4 linked regions of the Alligator mississippiensis genome follow. The protein of the gene in region 4 purifies or fractionates together with the protein of the main gene of each other region. This does not show direct contact. Links are inferred from orthologs where the notes say so. Each region holds a gene or a part of one and is shown on either strand. Other genes may lie near its edges. The genes, in order: MASTL, PRRC1, BORA and PLK1.

The links.
Region 1: the proteins of PLK1 (region 4) and MASTL purify together in Homo sapiens (affinity purification with mass spectrometry; 3 studies listed by BioGRID and IntAct, with this or other methods). This does not show direct contact. The link is inferred for Alligator mississippiensis from reciprocal best matches to the Homo sapiens genes PLK1 and MASTL.
Region 2: the proteins of PLK1 (region 4) and PRRC1 purify together in Homo sapiens (affinity purification with mass spectrometry; 3 studies listed by BioGRID and IntAct, counting the BioPlex papers as one, with this or other methods). This does not show direct contact. The link is inferred for Alligator mississippiensis from reciprocal best matches to the Homo sapiens genes PLK1 and PRRC1.
Region 3: the proteins of PLK1 (region 4) and BORA purify together in Homo sapiens (affinity purification with mass spectrometry; 12 studies listed by BioGRID and IntAct, counting the BioPlex papers as one, with this or other methods). This does not show direct contact. The link is inferred for Alligator mississippiensis from reciprocal best matches to the Homo sapiens genes PLK1 and BORA.

The regions. Positions count from the first base shown.
Region 1 is NC_081828.1:189,513,414-189,521,288, forward strand, and holds the start of MASTL (serine/threonine-protein kinase greatwall), read right to left. Parts: upstream 3,076-7,875; 5' UTR 2,669-3,075; coding exon 2,516-2,668; intron 1-2,515. Other genes in the region: ATP-dependent zinc metalloprotease YME1L1, read left to right, coding at 3,372-3,404, 5,750-5,881. UniProt on the Homo sapiens protein: Serine/threonine kinase that plays a key role in M phase by acting as a regulator of mitosis entry and maintenance.
Region 2 is NC_081826.1:216,292,798-216,300,290, forward strand, and holds the start of PRRC1 (protein PRRC1), read right to left. Parts: upstream 3,060-7,493; 5' UTR 2,950-3,059; intron 1-2,949. UniProt on the Homo sapiens protein: May act as a regulator of the protein kinase A (PKA) activity during embryonic development.
Region 3 is NC_081824.1:390,151,525-390,159,168, reverse strand, and holds the start of BORA (protein aurora borealis), read left to right. Parts: upstream 1-4,630; 5' UTR 4,631-4,708; intron 4,709-6,684; 5' UTR 6,685-6,699; coding exon 6,700-6,855; intron 6,856-7,644. Other genes in the region: MZT1 (mitotic-spindle organizing protein 1), read right to left, coding at 4,111-4,159. UniProt on the Homo sapiens protein: Required for the activation of AURKA at the onset of mitosis.
Region 4 is NC_081836.1:58,695,433-58,703,576, reverse strand, and holds the start of PLK1 (serine/threonine-protein kinase PLK1), read right to left. Parts: upstream 3,115-8,144; 5' UTR 3,002-3,114; coding exon 2,582-3,001; intron 2,308-2,581; coding exon 2,139-2,307; intron 1,794-2,138; coding exon 1,649-1,793; intron 1,362-1,648; coding exon 1,268-1,361; intron 907-1,267; coding exon 687-906; intron 1-686. Other genes in the region: ras-related protein Rap-2a-like, read right to left, coding at 5,723-6,313. UniProt on the Homo sapiens protein: Serine/threonine-protein kinase that performs several important functions throughout M phase of the cell cycle, including the regulation of centrosome maturation and spindle assembly, the removal of cohesins from chromosome arms, the inactivation of anaphase-promoting complex/cyclosome (APC/C) inhibitors, and the regulation of mitotic exit and cytokinesis.

The sequences.
Region 1 (7,875 bases), on a different chromosome or scaffold from region 4:
ACAGGAGGAATGCAGTGTGCAATGCCTGGAGGACCAGCAAGACAGAAAACAGGGAAGGCTTGGTGTTCATAAGTAACACTGAACCAAATCAAAGTGAAGCAGTTCAGAGTAATGCTTGATTTTCCAACTACATTTTTGAACCATTCCAGGTGGCTCTAAACCAGTTAAACAGCCTTGTATGTTCATCTGCTTCAGATTTAAGCCACAATTAAACCAATTAAAATGTCATGTGTTCATACACTGAATAATCATTTATATACTTTTCAATTTGTTTTTTAATTGAAAGCTGAACACTGCTACATTTATGAACAACCTAAACACAGTGATAACAATGCTGGTCTCTGTATATATTCCATCAGCAAAGATGGTCTCTTCCAAAAGCTTCATTTTGGAAGGTTCCGTGCTAATTTCTCAGCACTGCAAGAATCATACTCTTCATATCCTGTCTGCTGATTAGAGGAGCACTTGTCAATGTAAGATCCAATCAGTATAAATGAGGAAAACCACCCCTACACCCAGCTGAACTGTGGCTTCACATTTACACTTCCCTTTGAGAAAGTTTCTCTCTCCTACCTGTGCTGAGGGCCCAGTTAGATGACTGACTATAAAGATGCAATACAGAAACAAAAACATGGGAGGTTCTCATTTTACTACCTATTCTGATGTAAACATGATTTAAACTGACTCTGTACTTTTATTTTAAGTAGAAGCAAAGCTCTATTCATTGTCACAGGGGACACTTAAATCAGTGATTCTCCACCTTTTAAACCAAAAGGGCTCCTGGTTCAACTCAAGACATCCCTCTGAAAATGCCAACTTTGTTTTCACTTCCTCTTATTTTTCCCTAGTCAAAAAAACCCCACAATTCCTCTGTTGCAAAGAGCTCAGAAGCAGCGCAGAGCCCAATGTTTTTAGGCCATGGATTCCAAAATGAAACCACTGAGTTTACCTGGTGAATCTGGTAAACCCTCGGCAGAGTTAACAGCACTTGAGGATCCTCAAGCCCCAACATCCTGCGCAGATGATGCCCAACTTCTGCACTCCCAAAACAAGCGTTCCAGCAACGGTTGGAGATCTCACAGCAGCCAGAGAAAAAGGTATGAGGACACACTGAAGGCATCCTCAAGGAAATAGATGCCCATGCCAAGAGCTGGGAGAAGCTGGCTGCTGACCAGCTCCAACACCACAACCTCAATCATGTGGCAGGTGGTTGGGAGGCCAAGCGCCTCGCCCACAAAGCAGATGAGAGAAGGGAGGAAGGAAAAGGATAGGAATCCAGGTGGGCTGGTCACCCCCTCCCCTGCCAAAATGCCTGCAAATCCCATGAATGGGGCTGTGGCCCAAGGCTTGGACTCTTAAGTCACCTCAAGACCAGTCCATGAACTGCAGGAGAGCATCCTCCTAGCCAGGGACTGCCCACAGCCAGGACGACACCAGCCAACAGTGTGTGGCCCCCGTGGCACCCTTGGAAGGGCCTCCAGGAAGCTCAGGGTACTGTACAACAGCAGGGGTGGGGACGGACACTCATTGGCTTGAAGCAACTGTTCCTGAAAGGGCATAGCATTGCCATGTCCTAAATATGAAATGATCATACTGGAAGCTCAAAATTATTGTATTTGTTGAAAAAACTACCATATACTGTAGGATTACCATCTGTCAGGGTTTTCCTGGATATGTCCTCTTTTTGAGCCTTCTGATCTCTGCGTGGGTGGGTTTTTTAAATTTGACCAAATGTCTGGGGTTTTGCTTTGCTCCACTGGTGGGAGCAGGGGAAGGCCGATCGGAGGTAGCAAGGGGCACGAAGGTACCTGCCTGCAGCTGTGTTGGCACGTGCAGACTCATGTGGTGCTACCTGCTGCCTCCGATCACCTTGCCCCTGCTCCCACCAGTGGAGTGAGGGGCACTATCATGGCCTGGGGGGGAAAAGTACTGTGGTTTTGGAGTAAGGGGCACTGGCAGGGCTGGGGTCAGTGGGTCAGGAGTAATGTGGGTCAGGAGTAAGAGGCAGCAGCCGGGCTGGGGGGCTGGAGCTCGGCAGTGAGGGGCAACAGAATGGGCAGGGCACCAGCATGTCACTGCCTACCCCCCATCCTACCCCCCCCCCGACAGGTGTCCTCTTTTTTGGACCTGGAAATATGGGAACCTTAATACACCGAAGAGTTATGCAAACAACTGTGCAAACAAGCCCTCTTATTTACTTTATATTGCTCGCTATAACTTGCCAGTGAGCGAGTAAGAACTGGGTTAAAGTTGAAGCATTTTTTGTTTTTATGCAAGCTGTCATAAGAAAGTGCTGAAGCAAACCCAGAAGTCAGTTACGACTCTCCAAGAGTGACCTGGGTCTTGCATGCGCTTGCATCAAGCAGGTGCCGCAAAAATGATTGTACAGGTTGAACTGCACCGTGCAGGGGTCGAAATGACGGCACCAATATGATCGTTACGTCACCTGTAACACTGAACAGCGTGTCCAAGGCCTCCCCACGGACGCCCCAGGCCGGGCCCGGCCACTGCTCACCTTGACGGCGTAGAGCCGGCCGCCCTTGCGGCCCAGGTACACCTTCCCGAAGGCGCCGCGGCTGATGGGCTTCACGATGGTGAAGTCCTCGATGGAAGGCGGTCGTGGCACCGAGATGCTCCTCGCGCCCCCCCGCGCCTCCGGCGTGTCCATGGCCTGGCCAGGCCCGGCCACTGCTACTGTTGGCGGCCACAGCCCGCGCCAATTCAAAGCTAAACCTCGCCCCCGCTGACGTCATCGACCAACGGCCACGAAAGACCGAGTACCGCCAAGCCTCGCGAGCACTCCTAAGAGCACGGGAAAAGTGGTGCGCATGCGCGTGGCGGTCAGCTGCCTCCGGAGTGACCCAACGGCCCCTTGCTATCTGTATTCCTCACACGCGCGTGTACGCCTCCCCATCCCCAGGACAGGAACCGGCCGAGGCTTTGCGTGCCTGCATACGGGACCGTGTGGCTTCCGCGGACGAAGGAAGGGGGGCCGGCAGTTGCACCAGCCCGAAAGCTGGTGTCCAGCCGCCACGCATTCTCCCCCAACCCTCCCCCGAGACCCGGCCACGTGACAGCGTCCCGCACGAGTGACGTACGCAACACGCTCAGGCGCAGTGGGGAGAATGGTTTGTTCCTAACCTCCCCCCCGCCCAAAGAATGGTTTGCTCCCCGCGAGAGGAACGTAACTGCGTCACACACAGTCGTTGCTATAGAGCCCAGTAGCTGGAGGGCGGAAGTGGGGAATATGTGCGACCCGGAAGCGGCTCCTGCTCCCCCATTTTCCAGGGCAGCTGCAGGACCTGGCTTTGTCGGTAGCAGGAGGCGGCCATTTTCTCTACGGACGTTCAGCGCTTCGGGGCGGGAGAAGGATGTTTTCCCTGTCTACCAGCGTGCAGCCCCAGGTGTGACCCGGGCTGGGTGGTTCCTTCGGCGGGGGAGCAACTGGGCGGCCGTCACCGGGGGCTGAAGGGCGGGAGCGGCGCCCGAGGGCGGAGGAGGCCGCGTCTGGGACCTTCCCATCTCAGGGTGGCTTTTGCTAGGGGTGGCACCGAGGCAGCTCCTGGGGGCTGTCCGCCGTCGCCGCTGGGGCGGCAACTTGTCTCTCACTATTTCCCCCTCCACCGCGGTCTGGTCCCTCCCGGCGGGGCGTGTGGGGCTTCGTCGGGTCCCGCATTCCCTGCTTATCAAGTCTCGTTCCCGGCCTGTGCTCCGCCAGCGGGGTGACGCACCAGGGTTTTTTTTTCTTGCCTGGCTACTGCTGGGCCCACTGACTTCCCCGACTAAGTGACTTCGGCTTTGAATGCACCGACGTGGGGATGTTTGCCTGAGTGCGTCACGCTGGCGTCATTTTTCCTTAGTTCCTGCTACGTAAGAGCCGAGTCATAACAACATCACACTGGTTGTTGGGCCGTTTTAGTTTTGCTAACAGCACCGTATGCTGGCTCTTGGCCCGATTCCTTAATTGCTATGTATGCGTTATAAATAAACTGGCTGGCTTGAGACCTGCTGAAGAGTACTTTATACTAAACTGGTGCTTCTCTAATGGCTTTCTTAGTTTCTGCTAGATTTACCTCTTCTCGTGAACCAGTTGGCATGATATAATCTGGGTAATAAGCTAAACACACAATTCTTAACTGTTTAAAGGGGCAGTGTCAGGTTAAAGTCTAAATTTGCTACTGCTTTATGTTTAAGGTTCTTGGTCCTTTTTTTTTTGTCATTTTAGAATTCCATTTCCTCTTCCTCTGTACTTTTTCTCTAACTGCTGTGTACAAGACACATTCAGATTGGAAATTTCCTAACCCCAGGGATTTTGTTTAATGAAACTGAAAATACCTTTCTTTCATGTCAGTTACAGTAATTTAGGTGTCACAACAGAGGTAAAAAATTGAAGCGTGATTTAACTGACAGTTTGTCTCTATTTCTCAAGGATATTGCTAACTTCTTCCCATTGCAGTAGGACTCAACCATGGCAGCACATGTCAGATTATATCTTGGATCTCTTGCCCGCTAGGCAGAATAGTACCGTATTTTCGAGCATATAGCCTGCCCATGAGTATAAGTCACACCCACGTATAACCCGCGGAAAATTGTATTTTTGTAAATTAATCCGTGTATGCGCTGCACCTGTGTATTCCCTGCGGCAGCGTATACACGGGGAGGCAGCGCAGCTCAGCCTGCCCTGGCCCTGGCCCTGGCCCCCGTGGCAGCGGCGGCACAGCCCGGCCTGCCCGGGCCCAGCAGGGAGGCGGCACAGCCCGGCCTGCCTGGGCCTCTGCGGTCATGGCGGCGCAGCCTGGCCTGCCTGGGCCCAGCGGGAAGGCGGCGCAGCCCGCCCCAGCCCCCGCAGCGGTGGCACAGCCCGGCCTGCCTGGGCCCTGTGGGGGAAAAAAAGTCTGTCAGTAACCCGCACCCATACATTTTTGGGGGGGTAAAATTGTGTATACCCTGCGGGATATATGCGCGAAAATACGGTAGTTGTTTGAGGTTGTAGCATGGATCCAAGCAGGACAGGATTCATTATATAAGGCATTGAGACTAATACTTTTCACAACAGATACATACTAGTCCTGTGACTTGGTTTTCTTCCTGCCTTGCGATTCATGTGTATGTTGATGTGCTCTTTGCGCCTACACCTGCAAGAACACGCAAATGGTACAACAGTCAGTGTTGTAGTATCAGCTATCGCTAATATGACAAACAAGTTGGTACCATCAGAAAAGTGGCAAAGCTACTGCTTAAAGACAAAGAATAGATTGTTTCTTCATTTTCCATGGTAATTGAGAAAACTTATGTAAAAATAAGTAATTTTGTTTCAGAAAACTAATGACTAGTTCAAATACAAATGGAGGCTGTTGCTTTGTTTGCAAGTTGAACTTTTGTCTCTTAACTCTGTATTTGAGGTTCTGGTGAATGTTATTACATCATTTAGGATCCAGTCATGGAACCTGGATCCTGTTTTCCTCTGGCAAACTTAGTGCAGCTAAGCTGTTTTGGATACTTATTATTCTATTTCTCTTCCTCTGTAAATCAACTTCTCTTCTTACCCTGTGCTCAGTGAACCACTGAGATTTTCAGTTGAAAAGTACCATATAAAATATAGAATGTTATACTTGTGCACTGTCTGTCATGAGAATGCGTTTAGGTGTCTTGGTAAAAGTACAAACCTGGATACCTGACTTAGTGAAAGTTCTACATTTAATTTTTCATTATTTAATTTTAGATTGATTTAATCTTTAATTTCTTCCAGGTTACTGTTCCTCTGAGTCACCTCATCAATGCTTTCCATTCACCCAAAAGCTCAGTCACTTCTGCCAGCACAGCAGCTATTCACTCTCTACAAAAGGATACAGCCCCTGAACATGATGCCCAGAGTAGTAAGGTAATAGGAATTTTGTAGAGATCAGCATTTTTTGCGTTTGAATTGGGTCTGAAAAGTACTAGTTTAAAAAAAAAAAAAGTCAAGTAACTTGCATGTAATATTTGATACATCTTAAACGTGCATAAGATGATATGCTTATCTTCTAAATTCTGTATGTGGTAATAAAAGGCCATTGAAATTTATTTTTAAAACCCTCCTTTTCTGTGTGATGCATTGTCATGATTCACTTTGATTTAACAACGCTGGGTTTGACGCAGCCTTTAAGACAATAATGCTAACTTGTAAACAAAGTCATAAGCAGGAGTCTAAAATTTAGATTTTGAGAAGGTATTGGAAACAGTAGGAAAAAAAGCATAAATTATGAACAAATAGAACTTTGTGAAAAAGAGATGTACTACAGTACCGTAGCAGTTGTCAGGATATAAGAGGTAAAGTCCTCGCTTGTTAAGATCAACAAAGTGACTAGTATGTGTCTCGGGCAGTTTAAGAGGAAGGATTAGCTTCTGTATTTCAAACTTTCTTGATGACCTTGTAAAATGATGAAAAGAAAGCTTGTTTGTAATAACCTTGATTTTACTTTCCTTGCCAATTATTAGTATGCTTATAATAGTTTTGACTAGTGGGTGTTTTTTTGTTTTTTTTTTTGCACTAAATATTGTTTTTTATTTAAGTGGTATTTCTTTTTATGGCTCCTTTTTGTGCATAGCCAAGTCTGTGTTTATCTTTACCAAACTCTGTGGGCACTTTTAACAAGTAATAGACAGAAAAACTTCTTGATGGGTAATTAGAACGTAAAAAATAGTCCATAATGATTGGTCATTTCATGGAAACCACCCTGATTGTGCCTATTACACCTTCCTTCTGTTCTCTCTCAGTCATGCCAACAAAATTCAGGAACGACTTAAGATAAAAATATGGGTTTATAAATATGCTGATTCTCACTGAGACTAAAACTTTCAGAAATACCTAATTTAGATTTCTAAATCCAATTTTCATGTCTTTATGGAAATTCAGGGCTATGTACCCACCAGCAATGTCTTCTGTACTCACCGCTGTGTCCTGTTAATATGTTGACACCCGTGTGTCAGTTTGTCTTGCACAATGATCAGAGAGTGACTACAGCTTGACTAGAATGACTAAATAGGTGTTTAGTTTGTTTAATGCCTTATTATTTTGTCAGTTGGTGAGAGAACTTGTTTACCTTTAAAACCAAGGCTATATTTTTATAGTGTGTTTTCCTACCTAATTCATCTTTCTTCTTCCATTTCTAACCACCTTCCAGGGTAATTAAAACTCAATGTTTTAAAAAGAAACTCCTTTTGTTTGTACCTATCCTCTAACACAAGTGTTTCTCAACCTGTGGGTTGCGACCCAAAAGTGAGTTGCAACAATATTTGAAAGGCTCTTGAGCAAGTCTCAGAAAAATGAGGGAAAGCATAGGTTTCCCCTTGCAGGCTGGCAGCATTCCAGCCTACAAGGAGCTGCTTGGGGCAGTTGGGCACGTGTGCTTCTGCATGTGCACATGCACGTGGCTAGTATGCAGCCAGTCAGGTTGGAGGCCCAGGGCTTGGGGACTGTTTGGGGAGTGGGTGTTTGGGGAGGGGCTTTGTCTATGCATGCATAACCTCTAGTTAGGTCTCTGCATTATGACAAAAAATAGTTCAGATCTTTAAAAAAAAGTGGTATTTTAGTTATCTCGTGTGACATTTTAGTTTCCAGGTGAACAGCAATTTGAGACAGATCACATGTAAAAATAATTGCTGCTTGTTAAAATATACAATTTATTCTAGTTTAGCATAATTAAAATGTAAAATCAGAAACTGAAAAAATAATCCTTGTTAAACGTGTGTAAATAAGATGTTTCCCTGGTTTGCAATAAAAAGTCCCAAATCTAGTCCAAGAGCTATAAATTGGTTGCAAACCAACCCATATGTATCTGCTTCTAGATACTTGTGGGTTGGTTTGCCTTTAAGAAAGTTGTCTCAGACGGTCGG
Region 2 (7,493 bases), on a different chromosome or scaffold from region 4:
AAAGCGATTAGAAGCCTGGGAAGCAAGACTGCTGAGGAAAGTCTGAAAGAATCCCACAACTGTCGACGCTGACTTGGTGCAGTCACCTGGATGGACTGGCTGTGTTCAAGTCAGCAAGCCCGGATGAGCTGTACCTGAGGGTACTGAAGGAATTGGCCAGTGTCATAGCAGAACCACTGGCACGGCTGTTTGAGCACTTGTGGTGCTCTGGTCAGGTCCCGGAGGACTGGAAAAGGGCCAGTGTGGTCCCTATTTTCAAGAAGGGGAGGAAGGAGGAGCCGAGTAATTACAGGTCAGTTAGTCTCACCTCCACCCTTGGAAAGGTCTTTGAAAAGATTATGAAGGATCATATCTGTGGGAGTCCAGAGGGAAAAATAATGCAGCAGGGCAACCAGGATGGATTCGTATCAGGTAGATCATGCCTGACCAATCTGGTTTCCTTTTATAACAGGGTCACAAAATGCTTAGATGCAGGAGTAGAGGTAGATGTCATTTTCTTGGATTTTAGCAAAGCCTTCAATACGGTATCTCATCTCATTCTCATAAATAAATTAAGAGGCTGTGATATAGATGTTTACACAGTCCAGTGGGTGGCAAATTGGCTTATCGGCCACACCCAGGGAGTGGTAGTAGATGGGTCGGTATTGACCTGGAAGGATGCGAGTAGTGGGGTCCCCGCAGGGTTCGGTCCTTGGACCTATACTCTTCAATATCTTCATCAGTGACTTGGATGTGGGTGTGACGTGTACTCTGTTCAAGTTTGCGGATGATACTAAATTGTGGTGTGAAATGCACACTCCAGAGGGTAAGGAACGATTGCAGACGGACCTGGACAGGTTAGAAAAGTGGGCAGGACACAATAGGATGCAGTACAACAAGGAAAAGTGCAGAGTGCTGCACCCACGGTGCAAAAATATCCAGCACACCTACCAGCTGCGAAGTGACCCTCTCAGAAACACAGAAGCGGAAAGGGATCTTGGAGTCATAGTGAACTCCAAGATGAACATGAGTCGTCAGCATGACAAAATCATCACCAAAGCTAACCACACTTTATCGTGCATCAGCAGATGCATGACAAATAGACCCAAGGAGGTGATACTTCCTCTCTTTGCGACATTGGTCAGACCGCATTTGGAGTACTGCGTCCAGTTTTGGGCACCTTTCTTCAAGAAGAATGTTGACAGACTCAAGACGGTTCAGAGGAGGGCCACTTCTACAGGCAGGGGCTTACAGGACAAGCCCTATGAGGACAGACCGAGGGACCTGGGCCTCTTCAGCCTCCACAAGAGAAGGCCAAGGGGTGATCTTGTGGTCACCTACAAATTAATTAGAAGGATGCAGCAAGGGATCGGAGAGCTCTGTTCACCAGGGCACCTCTTGGGGTACCAAATAACAATGGTCACAAACCGACAGAGAGTAGGTTTAGGCTAGATATCAGGAAAAACTTCTTCATGGTAAGGGTGGCCAATATTTGGAATGGGCTTCCAAGGGAGGTGGTGCTCTCCCCTACCTTAGGGGTCTTTAAGAGAAGGCTGGATAGGCATCTGGCTGGGGTCATCTGACCCCAGCACTCTTTCCTGCCCAGGGCAGGAGGTCGGACTCGATGATCTGTTGAGGTCCCTTCCAACCCTAGCATCTGTGAATCAGGCCTCCTGAGCCTGGAGAACAGACAACTGAGTGGGTATTTGATAAGTCTTCAAAATACCTGATTATAAAAAAGGACAGAGAGAGGTTTTTCCTCTGTAGCTGTAGGGGACCAGAACTAGGAGCCATGGCCTCAAGTTGCAGCAGGGGAAATTTAAGTTGGAGATTTAGAGGAACTTCCTGACTGTAAGGATGGTCAAACATTGGGACAGGCTGCCTAGAGACTGTGTAATCTCCATCACCGGAAAGTTTCAAGAACGGGTTGGATGGACATTTGGCTAGAGTGGTTTAGTCAGGGATTGACCCTGCCTCAAGCAGAGGCTGGACTACATGCAACCTCCTGAGACCCCTTCCAGCCCTCCTCTCCTGTGATCCTACTAGATCAGTCAGACACGGGACCATGCTGCAAAAGAGGCAGTGAAGCAAGCAGCATCTATTCAAGTTGCTGCCGGCATCATGTACTTAGAGAGGACTTGGCTCCCAGGGCTGCCACAGCTATCCTATTAGCAGCAGTTTATGCACTTAATCCAAGGGGTCGGACTAGTTGTGACCTTGTGATGTCCCTTCAGACCTAACCAGACCGTGATCCCAGGACTTGTGAGCAAAACCATCCCTGGCTGATGTGTTAAGCCAAAGACTTCCATGCGCAGCACCTCAGCAGCCTTTCAGGGGTGCTGCGGGGGGATGCCACGTTAGTCCCATGAGCTGTGCAAACAATTCCCCGCATAAACCCAGAGGTTTCAGAATAAGCCCCAGCACTAAATAAAGGCTGTCCTGCGAGGGCTTTCCAACTGCCTGGCAACAGAAGAAAGGCTCTAATATTCCCACCCTGGTCAAGAAACGACTGCAGACTAAACCGGTGCGGTGTGGTGCGTGGGTGAGGCACTAATCTATGCGGAGCGCGAGTCTAAACTGTGAAGAACCACCCGCCTTCGAACGTTGACGCGGGGGGGCGCTCTGCACGCGCACAGGGACCCCCCCCTTATGACGTCACGCCGGGGGTTTCAGCACGGGCTCGCAAACGCAGCCGGCGTCCTCGAGCTCGGGCATGCGCAGTCAGCCACGACGCGCGCTGGAGCCACCAACATTCGCAGAAGCCTGAGCTGACCACCCCCTCCCGCCGGCGCGGACTACAACTCCCATGATGCCCGCGGGTGCTGCGCACGCGCCATGCAGCCGACGGTCGGGCTGCCACGTCTCCGGCTGGCGGCGCGGTGGTGCCCAGCCTGGCAAGAGGAAGGGGCGGGGATCTGTCCCGCAGCCCAGCAATGTACACCGCCGACCCGCCCCAACAACCCTGATCACCTGGGCGCCGCCGGCTCCGGGCCGCTGGTTGCTTGGCGGGGCTCCGGCTGCGCTGCTGCCGGCGTCCGCCCTCCCTGCCCGCATCTAAAATGGCCGCGGCGGGGGGGCGGGACGCCACCGCCCCCTGCCACGTTCGCCCGGCAGGGGGAGGAGCCGCACTGGCCCTGCCCCCGCCCCCAGCAAGGGCAGAGATCCACGTGACCTGGCCGCGAACTGAGGAGAACGCTCCTGTGAGCTTAGCTGGGGCCGGCCGCGCCTGCACAGTGGGCGGCGTAGGAGCGGTTGCAGGCCGCTGCTAAGCAGCTCAAGGGCGCCGCGGCGCATGCGCGAGTTGTGCCGGGGGTGTCACCTTTGGGGCCGTGCGGATGTTAGTCATAGAGCCCCTGCGTTAGGGTTGGGTTAGGCTATACCAGAGTTGATACGTGTATGATCGTTATCCTATTTGTACAATAATTTCGACCTCTCTACAATGTATGATCAGTAACAGTAAAAGTGTTAAAAAGCATGCTTTTTAAAAGAACTACACATTTGTTGAGCATGAACTTCTAAAAAAGAAGCTTTTCCTATTAGTACAAAAAAAAAAAAAAGCAAACTCATAACTCAAGTCCAATTAAAATTTGACTAGAGTTTCAAAGATGTTAACTTTTGGTTTGAAAAGAAGCATTACAACAATGTATCCCCCAATTTTTTTTTTTTTTTTGCAGAAATTTATAATCCCCTGAAAAGAAAGCATTTCAAAATAAAAAATACCTGTCATTTATTCAGATTAGCCATACAGTGTTGCTACACTTAGCTCCTTTGGCCTGTTCAGTTATGCAAGGCTATTCCTTGCAGGTTGTTAGAAGAAATGAATGATAAAGATGAGCATTCCTTTAAAGCAGTCCCATTAATTTACCCAGGATATACATATATATAATCTCTTGGTTCACTGAACACAATAGAATTAAAACAGGAAGTAGTTTCAAGCCTGCCTTTCCAGCTGGCACTGCACAAAAAGCATTGGTTTGTCATTTCCAGGAGACCCATACCTACCAGTACTTTTCTTGCTATGTCCTGCTTTTAGGCTACTTTCTCCTGGTTTTCTTCTGCTCTGTCTGCTTCCCTTTTTACTCACATATTGACAAATAAATGCATCCAAATTAATAGTAGCCATTACATTTGCATTCAGTCTAGCCTTCTATAGTAGCCTCAATTTTTCTGCTATCACTAAACAAAGGAGCATTTAATTGTTGCATCATTTAGCGTAAATAAAAGAGCACTAGCATGCCCATCAACTGCAGTGAAGTTTGAGATGGCCCATAATTCAACACCATACTTTCTGGGAGCCACTCAGCTTCCACTGTAAAAAGCTTCCTATTGCCTCAGCTATGCTCTGTGTACCAATGAACTCCAAAATGGCAAAGCCATCTATGACTCACTCAAAATAGAGAATTATTTTTCAAATTACAATTGATACATACTTATTTACACATATTTATATACTGTTTTTCTATCAAGACATTTTCACACCAGAATCCCAACAGATTTTACAGCTATTCACATCTCCTGGGAACTTTTCTCTCCCTGCCAAATTTCAGCCGTCCAGGAGGGGCCTCTTCATTGGGCCCCTAAAGAGCCTTTATTGTTTCTTTGGAGTCTATTGACTGGATCAGACTCTCCTTTTCCTTCTAATGAAGAATGCCTCTCTCTCAATAGCTTGTGTTTTTATAGCTATATTATCAGTTTCTGGGACAGACAACCTGAAGTCTTGCCAGTCTAACAGCTTTTCAGGTGTTTTTTATGGTTAACTTTGGATTTCGTCTTTGTAACCAAGTATAATCAACCACACAATTTCAGATACCAGGAACAAAACTAGGCTGTGTCTTAAGAATTTCCCTGTATGATTGTACATCATATGGGCAAACTTTTTCCATTTTGGATTGTAGATTTCCTATTGCCCAACCAATACAAAACTCTTTTCTTCTTCCAGAGTTTCATATAAGAAATTCATTGGGGTCATTTGCTCATGTCTAAGCTTCAGAATAGTGGGGAACACTTTGTACTCTTATTGACTGATGTTCCATATGCCACCAAAAAGAATGGGGTATGTGTGGGAAGATTGATGATACCTGTCCAGGGGAACTCCCCGGTCAGAGGGGCGCATCTGGCAGTAGCAGCGTGGCCACGCTCAGGAAGGGGCTTCTGATCCGCCCAGGGTCAGTCTCACCAACTCACCAAGTGAGCTGGATTGGCCCTACCTGGACTCCAGGAGCTATTTCCAGCACTATGCGCTGACAGGGAGACAGCAGGTGAAAAGCAAAAGACGGGGCCAGCAGACAGGGCAATTGCTCGGCTGCCAGTCTGCACTGAAGTCCCCAGGAATGGAGCAGCAGACCCACAGGGTCTATAGAGCTCGGAGGATGCAGTCAGCACCTAAGGTGCCGCACTCTCCATTTGAAAACATGAGAATAACACCGGGCGAGTATGTACGGAAAGCCACCCCTGTTAGAATGACGTGCATGCATGGGCACAGCACATATTATCCTCGGAGGGTCTACCAGGTCACTGTGTTGAAGACCACTAGAGAAATGCCGGTTGGAGTGGCTCGTGACTTACAGTACCTGATGATCTTAGGTCGAGACTGGAGGGAAATTTATGAAGTATTACACATAGTAAGAGAAGACAGGATGGGAGAAGGTGACCCGTTCGGAAGTAAGGAAGATGCTCCGGCCATTGAGAGTTTTGAAGTAGAAGGCTTGTCCAACAGTAAGGCATTCCGAAGAGCCCAAGCTGAAGAGCATGAATTCCAGGCCATAATAGAGACTAAATTGGTTAAGGAGAAAGAGGATGTGGTGAACCCAAGACACTATGCGAACCTGCCGAGATTCAGGTTAGGAGAAGGTTGCTATATCGGATAAAAAAAAAGGGGTACGAGAGGGGGAGGAGATTCCTCAGCTGTTAATACTGCATCAGTTTAGGGTCCTCTACTAAGGTTAGCACATGAAAATCCACTGGGTGGGCATACGAGATGCAGCAAAACCAAGGCCCGACTGACGAAGTGGTGTTTCTGGCCCAAGATTTATGACCAGGTGGAGAGATTCTGCCAGGCTTGCCTGGCCTGTCAAAAGGTAAGCTGGAACAAACCAGCCCAGGTGCAGTTGCAACCTATGCCCATAGTAGACATACCATTTTCTCATATTGCACTTGATGTGGTGGGACCCCTCCCCAAGTATTCAACAGGGTATCAATTTTTTTTGGTAATCATAGATTATGCAACCCAGTTCCCAAAGGCAGTCCCCATGCAAGGAGTCACCAGTCCCCAAGTGGCGGAGGAACTCCTTAAAGGGATTACCCGGGTAGGCAACCCCAAATAAACTGTTACTGATCAAGAGTCTAATTTAGTGTCGGGGGTCTTTCGGAGTCTGTGTAAGGTATTGCAAAGTAAGCAGTTATATACAGCCATATACCATCCTCAAACCAATGGCCTAGTGGAAAGGTTTAACAGGATGCTGAAGAATATGCTGCACCTGTGTGTTCAGGCAGAGCCCCGTAAATGGGACCTTACTATCCCGCCTTTGTTATTCATGGCACGAGAGGCCCCTCAGTCGTCTTTGGGGTGTGCCCCGTTTGATCTGGTATATGGACACCACCCAAGGGGCTTGCTAGATTTGGTGCAGGAAGTTTGGGAGGAAGCCCCACCAAAGGGCATCAATAATGTAGAGTATGTGAGAGAGCTGAGGCAACGCCTGTAAATGGCGGAAGAACTGTCGTGGGAACAACTGAGGGCAATGCCGAGGGCTCAAAAGACCAACTATGATAAAAGGACTCAGGAGAGAGATACTCAAATAGACCAGAAGGTACTGGTGTTACTCCCAGATGTGGAAAGTAAATTCCTAAGGTGTTGGCAGGGCCTCTTTGAAGTAATTCGGCAGATTGGCCCTGTTGATTATGAGGTTTTCAAGCCAGGCCATAAAAAGGAAAAGCAGATATACTAAGTTAATTTGCTTAATGAATGGAGGGGACAAGAGAGTTTGTTGGTTGATTCCTCCTCACTGGACGAGGAGTTCAATTGGGACTTAGGTGAGGACCTGGGACAAGATGCGGCAGCCATAAAGGTCCCAGTCAGGACCCAACTGAGCACTCGGCAACAAGATCAGTGGGAGACGTGGCAAGGGGATTTCAAAATGTTTTGAGATCCCAGGGTGTGCCAGAGGGATGATCCATTAGATAATAACTCCTGTTGGGCAGATTGTGAGAGAAAAATGGAGGAGAATCCCATATTATAGATATCAGGCAATTCGTGAGGAAATTACTAAAATGCTAGAGCAAGGCATCATTCAGGAGTCCCGGAGTCCTTGGCGCAGCCCCATCATGGCAGTGATTAAGCCCAATGGGTCGTTGCAGCTGTGTGTGGACTTCAGGAAAGTAAATGCTATATCTCGCTTTGATGCCTTTCCCATGCCCCAGATTAGCGAGTTGTTGGAGAAAGGGGGACAGGCTAGATTTATACTTAGCAAAAGGGTATTAGCAGGTACCATTGAGGAGAGAAGATATTGCCAAGACTG
Region 3 (7,644 bases), on a different chromosome or scaffold from region 4:
GCCCTTGTCCCCTTAGGGACAAATCAGGAATGGGAAAGGAGCAGACAGTGGAAACAGCAAGGCAGAGTAAGGTCCTGCCCTCTGCTCTTACCTGGCACCAGGGAGACCAGTGGTTCTTAATCTTTTTAACATCAAGGCATGCATAGTTCAGTGACTCTGCTGGGGTAACACAATTCTCAAAGATTATGGAGGGGTGGCTTGAGGCTAAAAAGGCTGAGATTCACTGCTGTAAACACAGAGCTGCTACACCAGTCTCAACCATGTGCTCCATGCCCCAGGCTAGAGTGGGGATGGAAATGGAAGGTAACTGGCAATGATGGGGAAGGGGCGGGTAGACGTAGCAGCTCTGACACTGACTCTGGGTCAGAGCCACAGCAGCTGCCTGCTAACAACAGCTCCCCACCACCCCAATGCTAAAATCAGAAAAAAAACCCAAAAAACCTTGTCTTGGATTTGAGCAAATCCAGTACTATTCACCTCATCTTTCACTTAAAGAACTGAAGCAAGGCAAAGGATAAATTCTGAAAAGCTGATAAATAATTCAGGAACCTTATTTTAAAACCACTCTAGTGTTCATGACTGAAATTACTGGGAGTTAGGATGATAGGCACGTTTGAAAATTCCTCTTGGTACCTAAATACCTTAAACATCTGGGCCTATTGTAGCCTGTTTCTTTGAAAGTCAACAGAACTAAGGTCTTCACTGCCTAGGTAACTTAAAAAAAATAAAGACAAACAGACTTAGGCACTTTCACAATGTTACCCAAAACAATATGTCAGGGGCACACAAGAGCCACTTACACGAATGAAATTCTACAGGTGTCATAAGTTTTGCCAGCAAAGTTCTCCAAGACCTAGAGTTATCCTTGCAGGAATGCTCAGAACTGTCACAAACATGGCAAAACTGGATAGCCTGGTGATTATCTCCAATTTAAGCATGTCAAGATTCACAAACTTGGGTATTCCTGTGTGCAAGTCCTCTGAGGGGCCTGGATCCTATACATGTGATAGCACTTAATTCAGAAAGCACAGCAGACAGCTACTTAAATTAAAAAGCAGAGCCAGAGGAGGCAGTGTCCACCTTTTATGCAATATCCTAATACAAGGGTGTCCAATTCAAGGCTTCTGGCTGCCCAGACAATCCACCTCTGGCAGAAGGGCAATGGCTTGTTACAGCTCGGGAACCCAGAAGGTGAATTCTGCTGTTGCTCACCTTCCCTGCACTGCCCTCCATTTTCTCTCTGCCATGAACCTCAGTTGCCAATGGTAACCCAGAATTCCCTAGCAGACAAAGATGTGTGCAGGGAGCAGGCAAGGGCTGAGTGGTGGTAATCTCTGACTTCCAGAACCACGTTGACAGTGCCGCTGGAACCCAGCTCAGGAAAGTGGTACTTCAATTTATGATTTGTTCTTACTCAGTAAGTGTCTTTGGTTTCTTGAGAACAGTAAAACATTAAAATAGAAGTTGAATCAGATAACCATTGAATCAAGAACCAATGAATAGAAACTGGAAGTATAATAAAATGTTAGGTTGGAAATTTAGAGGAAAATCTCCAACCATGAAAACTAAATAGCTCTGGAACAGCCTTCCAACAGCAGTAATGGGTATGAAGTTCTTACTAGGTTTAAAATGGAGCTTAGGCAGTTTATGAAAGTGACTGTATGACATCATCAATTTTGATATTAGGGCATGGAACATGATCAACCCTTCTAGACCTATGTTCCCAACTAGTGTTTGAAACCCTCTGTTGCCACCCATTCATTCAAGTAAATGTGAAGTGTTGCTTCTTATTCCCCTCAAACAAGAAATTTAACTCTTAAACTAATTAACAAGTTTGAAGGAAAGAATATTTAGCAATCTCTCTCTCATATTTTATACCACCATTGTGAGCTCTTCCCTAAACTATTGTTTACAAAGGTCTTTTCAATAGGCCTATCCAGTTTCCATATGTGAAAATTACTAATGGACACAGTTGATGAACCTAAAAATTCTTCAGCCATTTTCCTGTAACTCTTACTGCTGACAGGAAAAAAAAAACAACATCAGAGCAACACTAACATCTATTTTTACTCAATTTTTTTAAAGTACCTTCAGGTTCCATTATTATTGTATCTAATTATCCCACTATTTCACTATGTCTAGAGAGAGATTAGAAGAATTCTCTAGACAAAGACTGGGTACTGAAGGGTGAACCTCATTCTGCCCCATTTGTGCCTGGTCACAAAAATAAAAGAAAAAAACCGACTTGTAACTAACTGAAATGGGCACAATAAAGTTGTGCTGCAAAAAACAAAATAGGACCCGATTCTGAAAAACAAAATAGTTATAAAGAGACAATATCTCAAGCTCACCCAGCATACTTGATTTGATCAAGCTACAGAAAATCACTACCTTGATTACATAGTGGAAAGAGCTTATTTACATTGTTTAACAGAACAATGAACAGAAAAATTCAGGGTCTGGACTCCAGGAATACTCAGATTAGTGTAAATGTAGTTTGAATCTGAGACAGACAGGTGTACAGGCCTGTTATAACAGTATAAGGCTGCCTGGAACAGGTCAAAAGTGGTGCTTGATTTTCCAGGTACCTTTTGAACCAGTTCACTGTGATATTAGATGTGGATACAAAATGTTCCATGACACCAGTTTGGTCAGTCCTCCATTAACTCCTCATTGCATCAACCTCTTTCTCCCAAACTCTATTACCTCTGACATGTCTCCCCTTGTGTTGGCATTTTCATCACTGAGCTCTTTTGCACTGCTCGTTCAACCAAAGCTATCCAACAACCAGCTGAATCTGCACTCCCTACTCCACTGTGGCCCCTCATTATACTTCCCCAGGCCCTAGGAAGTCAAAAGTGCAAATCTAAGCACTTTCCCCCCCTCCATTCCCCCAGACCACCCCAAATGAGGCAAGCCCATGGCAGACTTTGCACCACTGCACTTGGGTTTACAGAAGGGAAAGCAGAAAAGGCAAATGCCCCTAGCCACAAGTCCCTCACCATTTGGACCCTGAAGAAAAAAGTCCAGATATAGTGGGCTCATTCCTGCCTCCTGGTGATGGAGTCACAGCACTTCATAAGACCTGTCAGTTACTGGGTCAATTACATACTTCCATCTTACCCGGCATCCATCTGCCTGACCAGGAAGAAGGTTCTGGCCCAGAGGACCCCCAGTGATTGCAAGGTCATCCTCCTGCCTCTCATCCACCTTGTTCAAGGGCCAGTGGGCACTGTCCAGTGTCCTGTGCTCACAGCCCCCTCTTGGTGCATTTGTTGTGAACAGAGATCCTGGTTTTCTCCGATTAAAAAAATTCTCAATTTTCAGTTTAAGACAAAAGTAACCCAAAATCCACATTTTTCCACAATTAAAATGAAGCGCCACTAATATCTAGTGGATTTGGTCAAGCTACAGATACATATCTATATATTAGTGGCTTTTCATTTTAACCACAGGAACATGTGGATTTTGAGTTACTGCTTTAATCTGAAAATTAGATTTTATACTTTTTAAATCAGAGAAAACCAGGATCCCTAGCTATGACCCTCTGACCTTCACTTCCATTCCCGCTTTGTAATTAGCTGGTACCTACCTAATACCCCTCTTGCGTTAGCAGTGGCTAACCCTTGCTCCAGGACTCAAGGCCTAGGACACCACCGTGGGTGTCCAATAGGCTTGTTTCATCCACGTCAGCCTCTGGGCAGTGCTGCGGGCTCACTCCATGGGATCACACGGGGGCCAAGGGGCCCCTTGGAGAACTCGTTACTGGCCTCTGCCCTTCCCTCCTACCCCCATCAGTGTTTTGGAAATCTGTCGCTGAACACTAAACTGCTCCTGGGCATCTAACGGCGGGGCTGTTCTCGTCTTGACCCGTGCTCGTATTTCTTTCGCACAAATCAAGCACGGGAGGAAAGTCTGCAGGCCCACCGCGCGGGGAGGGAGAGCGCGGGGGGGAAACCAGGGCGGCGCTCGTTTCCTCGGGGGAAGGAACAGAGCTGCTCCTCCTGCTGCCGCAAACCCCTGCTGAGGCCGGTCCAGCTCCGGACGCTTCGGACGCCAAATACGAGTGGATCCAACGGGCGCCGCAGCGAGCGCCCGCGCCCAACTCACCGTCCATGGTCTCCCGCACAGCGTTCAAGTTGGCCGCGTTACTCGCCATGGTGACAGACAGCGTGCGCCTAACCCGCCACCCGGAAGCACAAACCCGGAAGCGGAAGCCCCTCTTAACAGGGAAATACATAAAACATACATTCAATTGTATATATTTATTCATATAATATATATTATATTTTCTATGAAAATATATTATATTTCCTTGTTAGGAGGAAAAGATAAAATATAATTTATTTTTATATAAAACAACAAAACTAAAAAAACCCCAAAACAAAACAACTCTCCCCCCCCAAAAATCCCACCTCTCGCCGGCGCATGCAGTTACACCTCAGGAGCTATTTCCGTCCCTGCCCGGCCCGCTATGATGTTTCAAATACACCCCACCTACTCCTCCGTGAGGAGGGTTACTCGTTCGAATTTGTGAAGCGAGCCCTGCGCCGATTGGGCTGTTTGAGAGCGGTTGCCACGCGATTGGTCAGGCAGGTGAGGCGGCGCTCGATGATTGGGTAGCGGCGGAGCGTGGGGGCCGGGCCAGTTAAAGAGCTGCCTGGGGTCAGGCAGAGGCGGTTTCACAGGGATCCGCGGGCGGAGGCAGGTATCGCTCAATTTTTGGGTCATCTTTTTTTTCCCTCTCCCTCTACACAGGCCTTCCTGGGCTAGTGCGGGCTAGAGCCCCCATCCCCCCTAGGCTGATTATTTCCTTGGGGGGGGGGGGGGATATTGTCTTTGCGCATGCACAGAGCGGGCCGGGATTAGGAGAGAATCGGGGTTCTGAGAGGTGCTGACCCTACGACCGCGCATGCGCAGAACAGGCCAGAAGTGGCGCATCGAGGGGCTCTGCGGATGCAAAGCTGGAGGAAGGAAAGAGCCTCGGGGTCCCTCGTCCCTTCTCCCTCCCTCCCCCTCCTTTCCTCCCCCACTGCCCCTCCAGGTTTGGTTGCATATTTCACTTAATTTCCTAAAAATAAAGTTTCAGTGGCAATAGTGTGGCTTTTTTTTAGCCTGCCACAGGCCCTGTGCATCATGTGTCACTTGACTTTCTTGGCCAGCTTGAAGGGAGAAGAAAAAGTTCTTACTTTCCGGGATAAGCATACAACTAAGGCAGTGCTGGGGCCATGTGCCCAGTCCAGATATTTCTCATCTGCCCAATCTGGTGTGGTGGGTTAAAGGGCACTCATTGGATTCAACCCCTGTCTGTGGTAACGGGGCTAAAGCTGCTCTCTAATCCTGTGTGCTGGCTCCAGTCGATGCTAGGGCTGTGTCATCTGGCTTGGGACTCTAGTTAATGCAGCCACTGCTTTCCCCCACAAAATTTCCAGACCTGGGGGAATCGGTATCAAGGGCTGGGCGGGGCTTCAACTGACAAGAGTGCACAAAGCTAGTCAAACACAGCGTGGAGCGGAGGAGGGTTGTTACAGGGTCTGAGGTACCCCAATGGTCGCAGCAGCCTCTGGACTGACTTGTCTTGAGGATCAGTATTTATTGCATATAATGCACATCCCATTTTCCCTGAACTCATTTTTGTGGGTGGGAGGGGGGTGGAGGATGCAGGTTTTATCCAAGAAAAGGTTCTGTCTTCTCTGGGAGAAGCATGGTTTTGAGTGGTACCTGTATACCGTTATGCTTTCCATATACAGCCTTTCAGTAAAGAGGTTTCTTCAGACACTTGAGGCCAGATGCTGTTCCGTCTGTTTCAACAGTCCCTAGGCGTGGTTCTCTTCCACTGTGAAAGCCCCAGGAAAACTTAAAACCGTATTGGATCCTTCTCCACCTCCTTGTTGCTACTTTTTTGTGATGGAGTCTTAAGGTTAAGATCAGTGCAGTTACAAAGCAAGATGTATGGGTTTGGATGATTGGCCAGGAATTCAAACTGGGTGGAATAGGATCACGCTTAGGGTATGAACAGGCATCTTGTATGTCCTGGGACCAATTGTGCAGGTAATTGTCCTGGAACAGAAAAGTCATGTGATAGCCGTGTACATGTTGCCCTTCCAGTTGGAGTTTAGTTAGTGGCTGAACGCATGGCTGCTTTTCTGGCATTGATCCAGTGATGCAATCCCCACATGTCTGTTGAGATGCTCTTCAAAATATCCTGGGGCATATTTAGCTATCTTATCTAGTAAACCTTTTTTGGGGTCTGTACTGGGTCAATGAAAATGGCATCTGAATGATGGATTCACTGAGGTTCACCTTCAAATTAAAACCAGGTATAGAAACCAGGTATAGAGTCATTATCCTGTGATAATTACAGTGTACTTGTAGCTGGCCTAAATTTATTGAGCAGTTAACCAGTTAATTGCATGATAACTACCTTGCACATGTAGCTGGTCTACACTTATTGCACAATTAACCAGTTAGTTGCATAACATATGTCTCATGTAGCAGGGGCCTAATTCTCTTTCTCTGATTTATCTGAAACCGATCAGAAAACTGACCAAATTTAAACTTCTTGTACTCTCTTCAGTCTGACTAGATTTTGAATTGCTAATGTTTCTCGAAACGATCGTTTCTTACTGCAAAACCATGGGGTACTGAATGATCTAAAATTATAACTTCTTATTTTCCTTCTAGGTATTGTACTGTGTTATGGGTGATAGAAAAGAAGCTAAAATGCATATAACACCGGAAACTCCAGGACGGGTTGCTGTTCTGAACCCTTTTGAAAGTCCAAGTGATTACCATAGTCTGCAGGAACACGTGGTTTCCAGTCCTTCTGTCTTTAAATCAACGAAAGCCTCATCGGTAAGATTTAATCCTTAGTACATGAATATGGAAGAAATAGCAATACTTCCACATACACATTTTTCACACTTCGTAAAGTACACATGATTTGTAATACAACTTGAAATATTTTTACAAGAATTTAAACATAGTTCCTTCTGTGGAAACTTACAGTATTACTATGGTTGGTTTGTTTGTAGTGCTGTGTAACTGTTTTGAAAGTCTTGATGTTACTGCAGTTTTAGTGATTTTAAGAAAACCCAGCTAGTTGTACATGACACTATTCTAATAGTATTGTTGAGTTAAAGATGAACAATACTGGTTAGCTAGGTTTTCTTTAGAGAAATGCTGTCTGCAGTAACACTTGTTCCAACATTTTGATTCAAGTAGGCTGGGTGTAAGTTTAAACTCAATAGTCATAATGCCCCCTACTCCATGCTTTATCTGGCCTTGTTTAAGGCTTGAACTCTCTTCTATACAGTGGCCTAGTTTCAACACGGAGGATGGGAAGTGTCTCTACCACAGAACATGCAGAGTCCAGTGGTTACCTGAATAACTCCATAGGGAGGTAGTTGATGTAGGTTTGAATCTGGGTCTCTGGTGAGGTCTGTAGCTACTGGGCTATCACATAAGATGGACACCACTAGCACCTTCTTTCCCTTTTTAAAAAGAAAGCAGCCATAACTGCATTTTTGTATGAATGAAGCCTTGTATACGGATGCATGTTAGGTGTGCTCTGAAGACACAGTTCATGTCTATCAGGGGACTTAGGTAGGGGACTTTCTAGGTTTTGAATTTTAGCTGGTCTTT
Region 4 (8,144 bases):
AGCGAGTCCCTCCCACCGTGAGGCTAGAACCAGACGTCTCCTCCAGAACGGACAGTCCTCCCCCTCACCATCCTGGCCAAGCGTGATGCCTGCTCCCCAGAGCCAAGATTACCACAACTCAACCTGAGGAGGGTCCTCATGAAAACCCAGGCCTTGCGAATGGCAGAGTTGCACCCTGCTACCAGTGGCAGGGAAAGACTGGCTGGTTCCTCGGTGGAAGGGAAGCTCGCGTCTCCCCTTCGGGCAACAGGTGCTGGGCAGCCCTTCCCTTGCATTCCAGACGTGGAGACATGAGGATCCAGTGCTGCCACCACTGACCCGTGAGGCTACAAGAGCTGCCAGTTGCATCCAAACAACCAGGCATCAGTACTGTCAGGAGCCAGGGCAGAGTGGAGGGCTGCTCCTGGGCTGCCCCATGCTGTCGGGGTGCCACGGGGCAGGGTGAGCCCCTTGGTACTGTCTGACAAGAGCTCAAGGAGCTGGGCTCTCCGCTAGGGGGTCAGTTATTGCTCCTGTGGAGGGAAGGGCAGCACCAGACTGCCACGAACCCCAGACCTCCGTGCAAGCTCATCAGTGGTTCTGGCTGTCATCTGTAGCTTGCTCTTAGCCCTGGACAGACACCGTTTGCCCTGCACGTGGCATTTCTAGGCCCTGAACACTCCCTCCTTTGCCATGCAGGGCCCCACCTTTGTTAAGTGCAGTAAGGGGCTTCCGCCCGTTTGCGTCGAGGGCAGTGGGAGTGATGGAAAACCTCGGCGGGACAGTGAGACAGGTGGTGGGCAGGCGGGCGGGGATGTAACCCGACGTGAAGAACTCGTCATTCAGCAACTCGTCAATGGTGGGGCGGGTGGCAGGGTCTGACCTCAGCATCTTCTGGATGAGGCTAGCAGCTACCGGGTTGATGTGCTGAAAGAGGAGACCGGCAGTTTGTGGCTGGAAGGGACCGGTGTGCTTCTGTACTAGTGGAAGGGCCAAACCCCCCAACATGCAGGGCTTTCCTGCTCCAAACAGAGCCATGGAGAGACCAGGGCACGAGCCCGGAGGAGCTGAGGATGGCAAGATATAGCTAGCTCTCCTGTGAGGCTCAGTGCTATGATGGACTAGCCTGGTGGACAGCAGCGGAGGAGCCAGAGACCCAGGGCCCCTCCCAGGAGCGTGCACAGGGTGCTAGGAACCATTTCACAGCAAGCAAGAGAGTTTGGCTTGCGCCCCACCCTGGCATCCCTGCTGGAGAGGGAGCACGGGCCCTCCAGCAGGCCCCACCTACCTTTGGGATGGTGTACTCATTCTTCTTGATACGGATGTACGTCTCTTTTAGGCAAGAGGTTTCAAATGGCGGCTTCCCCACTAGCAGTGTGTACCTGCGTACGGAGGAGAGAGCGGCCTGTCACGGGTTCATGCAAGAGAGTTCAGGAGGCTGCAGGACTTATGCCCCAGAGGTAACCCCCAATCTGTAGTGAAGCGCTGGAACAGGCTCCCCAGAGAGGTGGTGCAGTCTCCGTCCTCGGGAGTGTTTAAGCACCAGCTAGACAAAGCCTTGGCTGGGATGATGCAGCTGGGGCTGGTCCTGCTTGGAGCAGGGGTTGGACTAGATGCGACTTCCCGAGGTCCCATCCCACCCTCACGTCCTACGATCCTATGAACTCACATGATGCAGCCGATGGACCAGATGTCCACTTCAAAGCTGTGCCCCTTCTTGCCCAGCACTTCGGGTGCAATGTAGTTTGGTGTACCACACAGGGTCTTCTTGCGCTCCCCGTCGTACTCTACCCTGGTGGCCAGCCCAAAGTCGCCTTAAAGATTCAGACAGAAGAGAATTTGCTTGCATCGGCTTAACTTCAGGCTCAGCTGTTGCCTGTGGATGTCGAGGGCCGCGGCGTGCCCTGCTGAGCCACCTGCGTGGACCTGCAGCAACACCCTCCCAAGACCCCATCTCGAGTGCCTGGTGGAGTTTGCTCCTGGACAGAGGGACGTGCTTGCCCAGGGTTGGGGTGAGAGGCTGCTGTTCCGCTTCACAGTGGCAGAAGCTACTGATTTACCCCTTTACCCCAGCTGCACACGGACACGGGAGGGAGGGACCCCAGGGCTCCGACAGCTCCAGGAAGAACCCGTGCCCCGCAGGGCGGGGAGGCCTGTACCTATTTTCACCTCCATGTCGTCATTGAGGAACAGGTTGCCCAACTTGAGGTCGCGGTGAATCACGCGGTTGCTGTGCAGGTACTGGCAGCCCAGGATGGTTTGCCGCAGGTAGTACCGCGCCTCGGGCTCCGTCAGCGCCTTCCTCCGCTTGTGCAGCTCCAGCAGCGACTGGGCAAGGGGGAGAAGGAGCGTGGAGGGGAGCGTGAGCACCAGCTACCAGCCCGCCTCCCCCCGGCCCCTTTAAGGCCCGCGGAACGTTCGTACACCCGCGCGGAACGCTCGGACTCGCCCGCGGAACGTTCGTACACCCGCGTGGAACGCTCGGACTCGCCCGCGGAACGTTCGGACCCCCGCGCGGAACGTTCAGACCCCCGCGCGGAACGCTCGCTCGGCATGGGCGGTTCCCGCCGGGCCCCGCGCCCGCGCCCGCGCCCGCGCTGACCCGGCGGCGGCAGAGCTCGAGCACGACGAAGACGAAGTCGCTGTCCTCGAAGAAGCCCTGGAAGCCGACGACGTGGCGGTGCGCCAGGCTGCGGTGGATGGCGATCTCCATGGACATCTTCTCCTTCTGGTGCGGCTTGGCCAGCAGCGCCTTGGGCACGATCTTGCCGGCGAACACCTCCTTGCTCTCCAGCTCCGTGATCTCGTAGCACTTGGCGAAGCCGCCCTTGCCCAGGAAGCGCCCGCGCACGTAGCTGCGCCGCGACCGCGGGTCGGCCAGCACCTTCGGGATCTCCTTGGCCCCGGCGGCCGCAGGCCCCCCGGCCGCCCCCGCCCCGGGCCCCGCCGCCGCCGCCGCCGCCGCCTTCCCCGGCTCCGCCGCGCCGGGCGGCCGCGTCCCCTTGGCGGACACCGCGCTCATGCTGCCGCTCTGCTCCGCGCCTCCTCTGCCTCTGCCTCTGCCACTGCCGCCCCGCTGCCCCCGGCCCCGTCCCCCGTCCCGCGGCCCCGGCCCGAGCTGCGCGGCGGCGGCAGCGGCGGCACCGATTTGAAACCCGGGGCCGGAGCGTTACGAACCCGCGCGCACGGATTGGCTGCTACGATTTAAAATCCAAGCCGCCCGCCGCAAGGCACCATGGGAGCGCTTCGCCTCGCCCCGCCCCTTTTTAAAGAGACAGGCGCGGCGGTGCGCGCCTGTCCCGGGGGCACTGCCCCTGCAGGTTTAGTCCCGGTTCCTTTTCCTAAACGAATCTAGACCCAATAAATTAATGAATGACACATCCTCAAGAGAGAGACTTTCATCAGCTGAGCCTATAGGAAGTTCCGGCTGGCAGGGCGCTCAGGCGGTCACCTCTAGTCCAGCCCCTGCTCCGAGCAGGACCAGCCCCACCTACATCACCCCGGCCAGGGCTTAAAGACGATAGAGACCCCACCACCTCCCTGGGGAACCCGCTCCAGTGCTTCACCGCCCTCCGAGTGGGAGAGTCTCTCCTCGTATCCAACCTCAACCTCCCTCGCTGCAGCTGGAGCCCATTGCTCCTTGTCCTGCCATCTGCCCCACTGAGACCAGCCCAGCTCCATCCTCTGTGCAGCCCCGGCAGGGAGGTGAAGGCTGCTATCAAATTCCCCGGTCTTCCCTTCCCCAGACTCAATCAGCCCAGTTCCTTTAGCCTCTCCTTAAAAGCCATAATTAATATGTAAAATAATATCATGTATCAAGTACAGAGCCTCATCCCAGATGAGGATGGGATTAGGGGGCAAAATACTTCTTGGGCCACCCCACACTTCCCATCCATGCCACCGAGGCACTGTCCCAAAGACCCTGAGCACAGCTCTGCCCAAAGCACGGCTTGGCCCTGCCCCCTGCCAGCCCCATAGCCGAGAACTAAGTATATTGGATTGGGTAAAGAACCGGGTTTCGGGCTGGGATTGCGGCTGGAAATCCTCCTCGGGCCACCCCACGCTGTGACTGTACCCCTGGGGGACTCTCCCAGACACCCCCGACCAGGGTCTAGCCTGGCCCAAAGCGCGGCTCGGCCTCGCGGGGCTGCCCCTAAATGTCCTCTCTTTATGGATGTGTAATTAATAATAACAAACTTGTATTGCGTCTAGATTAGCTTTGAAGAAGGAACCAGCCATGAGAAACGGGGAATAAGCAACCAACCTCAGCCTCCTGCAGGGGCAGGGGTTGGGGCCGTGCCTGGGGCTTGGGCGGGGGCTGTGCCCAGGGCAGGGTTAGGGTTGGGCGGGTCAGTGCCCAAGGCAGGGTTAGGGCTGGGGCTGTACCTGGGGCTTGGGCGGGGGCTGTGCCCAGGGCAGGGTTAGGGTTGGACTGGTCAGTGCCCAGGGCAGGGTTAGGGTTGGACTGGTCAGTGCCCAAGGCAGGGTTAGGGCTGGGGCTGTACCTGGGGCTTGGGCGGGGGCTGTGCCCAGGGCAGGGTTAGGGTTGGGCGGGTCAGTGCCCAAGGCAGGGTTAGGGCTGGGGCTGTACCTGGGGCTTGGGCGGGGGCTGTGCCCAGGGCAGGGTTAGGGTTGGGCGGGTCAGTGCCCAAGGCAGGGTTAGGGCTGGGGCTGTACCTGGGGCTTGGGCGGGGGCTGTGCCCAGGGCAGGGTTAGGGTTGGGCGGGTCAGTGCCCAAGGCAGGGTTAGGGCTGGGGCTGTACCTGGGGCTTGGGCGGGGGCTGTGCCCAGGGCAGGGTTAGGGTTGGGCGGGTCAGTGCCCAAGGCAGGGTTAGGGCTGGGGCTGTACCTGGGGCTTGGGCGGGGGCTGTGCCCAGGGCAGGGTTAGGGTTGGGCGGGTCAGTGCCCAAGGCAGGGTTAGGGCTGGGGCTGTACCTGGGGCTTGGGCGGGGGCTGTGCCCAGGGCAGGGTTAGGGTTGGACTGGTCAGTGCCCAGGGCAGGGTTAGGGCTGGGGCTGTACCTGGGGCTTGGGCGGGGGCTGTGCCCAGGGCAGGGTTAGGGTTGGACTGGTCAGTGCCCAGGGCAGGGTTAGGGCTGGGGCTGTACCTGGGGCTTGGGCGGGGGCTGTGCCCAGGGCAGGGTTAGGGGCAGGGTTAGGGCTGGGGCTGTGCCTGGGGCATGAGTTGGGAGAGCGACTCTGCCCGCGCCGCTGGCTGTTTTGGCTGGAGGTGCGATAGCCCCAGACCCGCAGCCCCGGGCCGGCTGGGCCGGGCGGGCGGGCAGGAGCGATAACCCCCTCCAGCCCCTAGTCCGGACGCTTGGTGCCACGGGCAGCTTTGCCCCATGATGTGTGTGCGTGTGTGCGCGCGGGGAGGGTCCAGTGCCAAGCCGCCCCCGAGGGTGAGACGCCGCGCCCCCGAGGCGGCCGGGGCTGGACTCGGTGGTCCCGGAGCAGGCGTGGGGACACGACGGGGCGGAGGCAGGACTCAGTGCAACACTTTATTCCCGACCCCTCAGTCTGTGCGCTGCCCGGCGCGGGGCCGGCCCCGCCGCCCCCGGTGCGAGGTCCGTGGCGAGCGCGCGCTGCTCGATTCATAGATGTTCGGGTCTAAAGGGATCTCAATAGATCATCGAGTCCGACCCCTGCACAGGCAGGAAAGAGTGCTGGGTCTAGATGACCCCAGCTCGAGTGCGAGTGCGAGTCCCGGGAGCCGCCGGCGGCCCCCCGCCGTCCGGCCGGCGCTAGCAGAGGGCGCAGGCGGGGCCCCTGTGCGCGCGGCGCGGCGCGGGCTTGGGGCTGGGCGGCGGCGCGTGGCGCAGCAGCTCCCGCAGCAGCTCCCGCAGCCCGTGGCCCAGGCGCGCCGAGGCCCGCACGTGCGCCCAGCCCCAGTCGCGCTGCACGGCGGCGGCCAGCGCGGCCCCCGCCTCGGCCGCCAGCTCCTCCGCCTCCGCGTCGCTCTTGTTGGCCACGACGAGCACGGGCGCCGCGTCCCGCCGCGCGGCCAGCAGCTCGTCCCGCAGCCGCCGCACCTCGCCGAAGCTGTCGGGCTCCTGCAGCGAGTAGACCAGCACGAAGGCGTCGGCGCGGCTCAGGCAGAGGCGCCGCATGGCCGGGAAGCTGTAGCTGCCGCTCGTGTCCAGGATCTCGAGGCGCAGCCGCCGGCCCGGCTCGGGCTCCAGCTCCAGCACGTGCAGCTCCTCCACCGTGCGCCGGTGCCGCGCCTCGAAGGAGCCGCGCAGCAGCCGCCGCACCAGCGCCGTCTTGCCCACGCCCGCCGCGCCCAGCACGGCCAGCCGCACGCTCGTCTCCGCCTGCACCGCGCCCGGCCCCATCTCCAGCCCGGCTCGGCCCCGGCCCCGGCCCGGCGCCGCCGCCGCTTTATCCCCGCGCCCGGCTCCGCCCCGTCCCAGCCGCCGCCCCCTGGCACGGCACTGCCCGCCTGGCACCGCGCGCGGCTCAGGGGCGCTGGGCTGGGCGAGGGAGGGGACCCCGCCGCCCGCAAGCAGGGCTCCGCGGGCTGGTCCCGCTGCGGGGGTGACTGGCAAGAGGCCGTGGGGCTGCCCGCTCTGTCTGCTGCGGGGGTCCACCGCCCGGCTTGGAAAGGGAGCGTCCCTTGTGCGCCCGTTGTCCCCCGGGACGTTTCTGTGCACTGGCGCAGTGCAGCACCCGGGCCTGACAGCCCGCAGCCTGATTTCCCTCTTTTCATCCCTCCAAACCCTTCCGGAGATCCCGAGGGGCCCTGGCATGCATTAGGGGAAGGACCTGAGCCTGGGGGAGAGCAGCGGAGGGTTGGGGCTGGAGAGGAGACAGAGCAACCCGCAAGGGGAAAGGAGCAGAGCAGGCGCTGGGTGGAGAACTGCTGAGGAAGGACAGGCAGGAGGCTGGAGGGGCAGCAAAGCAAACCTCCTCCCGGATGGAGCTGGTGCGATGCCCCGTGGGAGCTATGGATGCTGCCCTAGCTCATGTGTGGCATTGCCCAGCCTTCGCCCCTTCAGGCCCGGACAGGGCAGCCCCTGCCAACAGGCTGCTAGTCACTCCCGTGGTCCAGCTCTGCAGACAGGGCCACAGACTGCCCTGGGTTTGCAGTGAGAGGCAGCGTGGCCTACTTTCTCTCTCCCTGCTTGGGGTTATGTATTCACCCTCCCTAAAGGAATACACACCCCAGCCCTGCAGAGTGGGCTGCGTGTTGCTCCCTTGCGGATCTGCCATGGGAACAGGGTGTCCTGCCCACATGGCCTTGCCAGACAGTGTGTGGGAGGGCCTGCCCGGGGGTCGGCTGCAGCCCAGGGATGGGCCAGGCTCTTGCTGGAGTTTCTCTTGCTCTGAACACAAGGTGTTTGTCAGCTTGTTGTCATAGATTTCATAGACATTAGGGCTGGAAGGGACCCTGGAAGATCATTGAGTCCAGCCCATCGCCCAAAGGGCAGGAAGTCAGCTAGGGTCAAAGGATCCCAGCAAGATAGACGTCCAAATGTCTCTTGAAAGCGTTCAAGGTAGGTGCTTGCACCAACTCCGGCGGCAGTCTACTCCAGACCTCGGTGGCTCGGACAGTAAAGAAGTTCTTCCTTATGTCCACCCTGAATTGGTCACAGAGGAGTTTGTGACCATTCAACCTTGTCATCCCTTGGGGCGCTCTGGTGTCTGGCTCAGGGATTTGTGGACCCTGTGCTCACCTGGGTGAGGTGTCCCTGGTGGGTGCAAGAAACGTGTTTGTAAGCAGATGCTTTATTGTCAGCCCGCTGGCGTGCCACCTCCCTGGGGAAGGAGAAGCCCTGGTTGTTGCATCCCCTCAGCCAGCAAAGGGCTGGCCCAGGTGGGACAGGGTCATGACTGGCTGGGCCGGGGATGGCTCTGTAGCCCCGCTACGGATGGGTTCCTTGAGTTCACCGGCCCTGCTGCCTCCTTTGTTTTGAATAGTTTCTCAGGTGACTCATCCGGTTTCTCAGGCTGCTTTACAGTTCTGGGGAAAGCTGAGTGTGGGGCGTGTTGGCTCCCAGGGGAGCTGGCCAGGAGTGGCATGTCCGGGATCTGAGTGTGTCCTGGCTCGTGCCCTGATCCGTGTGAGACACAATAGCAGAGGGCACATAAGTGCCTGTGTGGGGGCAGAGGGGAATTCGGGGGCCGTGGACTTTGCAGGTTGCTACCCCAGGAACCATCTCACCT